2 linked regions of the Macaca fascicularis genome follow. The protein of the gene in region 2 purifies or fractionates together with the protein of the main gene of each other region. This does not show direct contact. Links are inferred from orthologs where the notes say so. Each region holds a gene or a part of one and is shown on either strand. Other genes may lie near its edges.

Region 1 (3,279 bases), on a different chromosome or scaffold from region 2:
AATGGGATGGGAGAAAATAAGTGTGAAGCACCACAGGGGAATAGAAAAGTTTAGAAGTATTTAGTAACAATTTTAGCCTCCAGGAGAACAGTATCCTGTCTCACTTCCTAGGTGTTGCTTAGCTAGATTTTAGTCAGGTACTAGTGTACCAGCCAGTATCACACCAGGCTGTTCAGGAGTTCGAGACCAGCCTGGGAAACATAGCTAGACTCCATCTTTACCAAAAAATTAGCCGGGCATTGTGGCATGCAACTGTGGTCCCAGCTACCCGTGAGACTGAGGTGGGAGGATTGCTTGAGCCCAGGAGGTCGAGGCTGCAGTGAGCTGCAGTCGCACCACTGCACTCTGTATAGTCTGGGTGACAGAGTGAGACCCTGTCTCAAAAAAAACCCAGCAAAACAGGCTGTTAATCTGCCTTGGCTTTTCATAAAAGCCTTGGCATGGATTGGCATTTTCAAGGTGCTCTTTTTCAAAAAACCCATATTTCTTTCTCTCAGTGCATTAAAATTACTGCCTAGTTATGACCGTAGCATTGAGGAAGTATTTATTGTCTCTGGGCTCTTAAATGCCCATCCTAAGATATTTTTAGGTTGAATTAAACCCTTTATCTTTAAATTGGTTTTCTTGGCAGAGGTAATAGCTCCCACTTTTACTTACCCATATTCATGGCTTGAAGAGGAAGACATCAAGAAACTCAAGAAAGCATGAGAAAAGGGAAGAACAGAATTAGGAATGACATTGCCACCTACCATGAGTTGGTGGTGAAGTCCTTAGCAGTTTTTAAGTACTTTGCCAGTGTCTGAAATTTACTTGGACTTTTTATTAGATATTAGTTGCTGTAGGACTTTATTTGGAGAGGAATAGTCAGCTTTTTAGTATTAATTTCTTAATTTTCATTTTGCCATTGAAATGTAATTCCCAAGTCCAGAAGTCATGATTTTTATTAGGGAAGAAGGTTCTGTCAGTTGTAGAAATCTAGACAATATTAATCATTTTTGACATTTGATAGGTCACATTGTTATGTGAGCGTGTATACATGTACATGTGCCCACATATTTAATGCATCTGCATTTATAACTGTTGTTGTGCTAAGCTGATTACTCAGTTTCTTATATAGAGGAATGTATTTCAATGCAATGTTGTATATTAATGGAGGTCAGTAACTTCAACTGTAGCAGGCTGGTGGCTGTCAGAAGCATTACCCAGTTGTGTCTGATAGGGCACAGCCAACAGGCTTGTATTGCCCAAGGGAGCACTCGGTGAGGTGTCAGTACCCCTCATATCGCTGATTCTAGATAACTTCCCATTGAAAAATTGAAGAGATGTGAATGTGTAACTTTTTGCTTTGCTCTTTGTTTTAAAGGAGATGCAAGCAAAGCTCGCAGCGCAAAAATTAGCTGAAAGACTGAATATTAAAATGCGGAGTTATAATCCAGAAGGGGAGTCTTCAGGGAGATACCGAGAAGTAAGGGATGAAGATGACGATTGGTCCTCTGATGAATTCTGAAGATAATCTCCTAAATCACTGACGTTGAGGTGTCATCATCTTACATTAGACTTTCTAACTAGTATCAAGATCAGTGTCAGATATTGTTGAGGAAGTAATTTTATAAAGTTACACAAAGGTAGTTATTAAAAAAAATCCCAGTTTGTCTTTCAGAAGATGACTTTCATGTGCTTGAAAAGTTTAATTTTTGAATATTGTGTTTAACCACATGGTATTAAAATTTTGCAATATATTGTGTATTGGTCTGATATTTTAGTATATAGTAGAACATACTTTTTTTCTTTAAGCCAAATGAAAAGAGAGAACTTTGCTTTTTTCCTTATTCTTAACTATCAAATAGCATTTATTACATGTCTTTCAGTGAAATACTTAGTTCCAGGCACCCAAAATCAATTAGGAAGACATAGTTCCCTTCTCTTTTGGGTAATGAAGGGAGCAGTCTAAAGAATTGTATGCATGTTTGCATGGGGTTATTGAGACATTGGATGTGAAATACTTAGGAAGACATGCATGGAGAATGCTTAACAAATGCTCTTCTCCTTTTTCTGTCTTCCCTTAGGAAGAATGTTCTCTCTCTTCTGATTAGGAAGGAATTCCCTTTTGAGTAGATGCTGGAAGGTGGAAGTTTTTTTTTTTGTTTGTTTGTTTGGTTTGGGTTTTTTTTTTTTTTTAGAGTCTTGCTCTGTCGCCCAGGCTGGAGTGCAATGGGGCACTATCTTGGCTCACTGCAATCTAGGTGGAGGTCTTTTTAAATAACCTCATGTTACTTCAGGCAAATCTGGTACAGGAAAAGTCCAGGCTAACTGAGCTAGGTGAAGGCTTGTGCATCACCTGGCTTGAGTTCCTTGCTGTCACAGATGATAGGTTCATGTACAGAACATTAATGTTTGGTAAGGAAAGCATTTTTTTTGTTATTGTTGTTACAATTGTCAGTACTTTACTTTTTTCCCCCCAAAGAGGCAGATATAGACTGCAGAAACTTCAGTCTCATATATAAATGTTCATGTCATTTTAGAGGATTATATGGTTGTCTCCAGAGAAATTAACTTACATTATCAAAAAATTCTTTGTCTAATGTATTGGAGTCTTTAAAAGTGTTGAAGAATAAAATATTAATTAGAACAACTTCAAATGCTAATGGTGATGTTTTACTGGGACTTAATTAAATACTTTTACTTTTGAAAAAGACTATTCACATTTGCTTCCAGGTGTAGTTATTGCTTTCAGTCCTCACCCACCTCAAGCAAATGTGAAAAGTATACTGACCTAAGAGTCTCATTAGTTTTAGTTCTTAAAACTAATAGTAAATGATTTTGCAGCATAAAATTTGATGTTATTTGTGGAAAGCTGGATGATATGGAAGAGTTCATGTGCCTGCACACACAGTTCCCTGTAATCCTGCCACCTAGGGAGATAACCTCTGTTAACATTTTGATGTTGTGGTTTTACTTATTTTTCTAATCATAGTTATACATTTATTTTCTCAAAAATGCAATCATAATGTACATTGCTTTGTGGTCTGCTCTATGTATTGTCAACATTTTCCCATATTAAGTATCTTGCTTTTTAGATAGCTGTAGGATATTTTATTTCATGGATATACCATAACTTTAAGACTGATTCCCTATTCAGCAATTTGATTATTTATTATAATGTAATCTGTAAATAGTGATGTGATTAACATCTTAAAATAATCACATCTATACAAAATGACTTATTTCCAGAAGAGACCGCTCTAGAAATGAAATTGTTAGGTGAAAGTGTTTTCGAGA
Region 2 (3,656 bases):
TACAGGCGCCGCCACCACACCCGGCTAATTTTTTTGTATTTTTAGTAGAGACGGGGTTTCATTGTGTTAGCCAGGATGGTCTCGATCTCCCGACCTCGTGATCCGCCCATCTCAGCCTCCCAAAGTGCTGGGATTACAGGCTTGAGCCACCCCGCCCGGCCTGTAATGATTTTTTTTAAATTATTATTTTATTTTTATTTTTGGAGACAGAGTCTTGCTCTGTCACCCAGGCTGGAGTGTAACAGAGCAATCTCTGCTCATTGCAGCCTCTGCCTCCCAGGTTCAAGCAATTCTCATGCCTCAGCTTCCCGAGTAGCTGGGACTACAGGTGCATGCCACCATGCCTGGTTGATTTTTTTTATTTTTAGCAGAGACATGGTTTCACCATGTTGGCCAGGCTGGTCTTGAACTCCTGACCTCAAGTAATCCGCCTGCCTCGGCCTCCCAAAGTGCTGGGATTACAGGCATGAGCTACTAGGCCCGGCCTTATTATAATGATTTTTTAAAAACCCATCCTAATCCCAAAGCACTTCAATATCCTCCAAAATCCTCCAAAATATAAAAGAATCTATTAGCGGTATATCACATTTTATTAATGAATCTCTGAATTCAAAGGATAAATCCCAGATGCTTATTCCCTTTTTAAAAGTATTCTCAGCTTTATAAAAAGATCCCCAAAAGAATTTTTACTTTAAAATATAATTTGAGTTCTAAAATATAATTTAATAATTTAAAATGTGTCAAAATTTTTGGAAGCATGTATCCAAAGATTAAGGCAAGCAATGTTTTTTTTTTTTTGAGACAGAGTCTCGCTCTGTGGCCAGGCTGGAGTGCAGTGGCGTGACCTTGGCTCACTGCAACCTCCGCCTCCTGGGTTCAAGCAATTCTCCTGCTTCAGCTTCCTGAGTAGCTGGGACTATAGGTGCGCATGACCACGCCCAGCTAATTTTTGTATTTTCAGTAGAGACGGGGTTTCACCATGTTGGCCAGAATGGTCTCAATCTCTTGACCTTGTGATCCGCCCTCCTCAGCCTCCCAAAGTGCTGGGATTACAGGCATAAGCCACCATGCCCAGGCTTTTTTTTATTTTTTGAGACAGAGTCCCACTCTGTCACCCAGGCTGGAGTACAGTGGTGCGATCTCACCTCACTGTAACCCCCACCTCCTGGGTTCAAGTGATTCTCCTGTCTCAGCCTCCCCAGTAGCTGCGATTACAGGCCCGTGCCACCATGCCTGACTAATTGTTGTATTTTTAGTAGAGATGAGGTTTCACCATATTGGCCAGGCTGTGCTTGAACTCCTGACCTCAGGTGATCTACCTGCCTCAGCCTCCCAAAGTGCTGGGATTACAGGCATGAGCCACTGTGCCCGGCCTAGCAATAACTTATAATTAAATTTACACTTTACAGTTCAAGGAAATAAAGTTCAAAGAAAAGATGCCAATGCAAAGATAACTTTCACTAGTCGTATGCCTTGTTTAAAAATCTCACAGACCACACCCTCTTAACTAAAGATTCTTACTTCAGACACAATGATGTCCATCTGACGTCGCAATTTCCTTAGGGTGTTCATAAGTTGTTCAGGATCTTTATGTATTCCAACCCAGCAGCCATTAACAAAAATCTTGGTTGCACTACAAAAGAAAAAGCAAAAGCATTTTATGCTTAACAATTCTATACCAAGCAACAACTAAAGATTAACCACAGTTTAAAAAGCTAATTCCATCTATACACACTCAGCAATAGCTGCAGGAGAAATTTCTTCTAAGTTTTCCATACTCCATTCTTCTAAAAATTCCAGAATTGGAGATGGTTGAGATCCAACTGAAATATATGCCATCAACGCTAAATTCTTCACAAGTCCTACAGCATGGCCCTAAAAAATAAACCAAGTATTAGTCATTCTGATTTTGCATGCCTATCAGACTTCTTTTCCATAAACATTTTTCCTTCAATGTGATTTCAAGATTTATTCTTTCTAAGAATACAATTATTAAAAAAATCTTATTTCTAAACCACTCTGCATAATTTTTTAAACATCTACTTCTAAAAGCAATTATGCCCTACATAATTACTCACTGACTTTTTGTCCTGAATATAAATTCTAATGTATTACCTCTGGGGTCTCGGCAGGACACACCATCCCCCACAACGTATTATGCAACTGTCTTGGTTTTGCTAGCTTGCCATCTCTACCAATAGGAGAATTTAAACGACGCAGGTGAGAAAGAGTAGATGCAAAAGTCAGGCGGTTTAATACCTAGAAAAAAATAACCAATCTTTAAAGTCTGGACATTTCTGTGATTCATAGTATTACACTGAGGCAAAGTCAAGTTTTACACATAATCTACTGAGTATCAAACTGTTCCCCATTTCTCTATTCTTTCCCTGAATAATGTTGTTTAACACCTTAACTTACCTGCCACTTGCAGCAGGGATGGCAAATACATTCTAACATACCACATAAACATTCTGTGTATGGTCTCCAAACAAACACTAGGACATTAGTTTCATGAAGGCAGGGAATTTTTAAAATTGTTTTATTCTCTGTTGTATCCCAGCACCTAAAACAGTACTTGGCATTCATTAGATATTCAATAAGTGTTAAGTTAAATTCTACCAACTCACACTCCTTTGATCATAGCAGACATCACTAATTCATCTCATTACTTTTTCCAGACTGAGGCCTCTGAATCTAATAGAAAAATGCAAACATCCATTACCAATACTTACAGGATACTAACCAAGATGTTATTTATAAATAAGATAATATTTAGGGCAACATAAAGCAGACAACTCAAGCTCTGTATTATTAATTATTTATAAATCTCCATCTTCCCCTAGTCCTTAAATAACTCAAACCTCCTTCCTCTTTCCTAAGTCTTCTGTCATGGATAAGCAGCATCACCTTTCTCTCAATCTGGAAATCTCAAAATCATTTTTGTCTACAAGTTCCTCCTTCCACACATCTATAAACATACCCTGTCAATTCTATTTTCAAATTTTCTAAAAAACCTAGCCCCTCCCTTCCCAATGTCACAGTAATAGACCAGCCCATTTCCCCTCATCTATACTACGTCCATCAGCTCTGCCTGGTTCCCTCCAATCCCTGCCTGGTTCCCTCCAATCTACCTTCCTCACTTGCCAGAATTATTAAACACTTACCCACTTAAAAATTAAACAGATAGCCACTGGCTACTGAAGAGCACAACACTGAAGTCCTCCTCAATGAAGCCCCAAAAACGACCTTCCCTTTAGTCTCCTTACACTCCTGTACTCAACTGACATCACCACACACCCTCACCTCCATGCCTTTGACCATGCTATTGCCACAGAATGAAATGCCCTTCTCCACTCTGCTCTGCCTGGTGAAATGATACCACCTCTACAAAGCCATCTGACCCACCTCCAGGAAGAACTATTCTCTTTTCTGTACTCATTGGAGTTTTCAACCGTTCAACGAAATCAATCACAAAGTCTTATGAAACTTACTTCCTAAATATTTCTAAAATTTACTCTCCATCTCTATAAAACTGCTCTAGTCCAGTCCCTAATTATTTCTCACCCCAGGCTGTTGCAACAATCTTCCTGCCACCAACCTTGCCCTTCTCAAGTCTTTTCTCCACACTGCCAATTACTGTGAATCTGTCCGAAAGA

Evidence for each region. The genes of interacting proteins can lie anywhere in the genome.
Region 1: the proteins of POLR2B (region 2) and POLR2M purify together in Homo sapiens (affinity purification with mass spectrometry; 3 studies listed by BioGRID and IntAct, counting the BioPlex papers as one, with this or other methods). This does not show direct contact. The link is inferred for Macaca fascicularis from reciprocal best matches to the Homo sapiens genes POLR2B and POLR2M.

The regions. Positions count from the first base shown.
Region 1 is NC_088381.1:34,173,293-34,176,571, forward strand, and holds the end of POLR2M (protein GRINL1A), read left to right. Parts: intron 1-1,363; coding exon 1,364-1,507; 3' UTR 1,508-2,639; downstream 2,640-3,279.
Region 2 is NC_088379.1:76,866,538-76,870,193, forward strand, and holds part of POLR2B (DNA-directed RNA polymerase II subunit RPB2), read right to left. Parts: intron 2,260-3,656; coding exon 2,116-2,259; intron 1,876-2,115; coding exon 1,736-1,875; intron 1,634-1,735; coding exon 1,522-1,633; intron 1-1,521. UniProt on the Homo sapiens protein: Catalytic core component of RNA polymerase II (Pol II), a DNA-dependent RNA polymerase which synthesizes mRNA precursors and many functional non-coding RNAs using the four ribonucleoside triphosphates as substrates.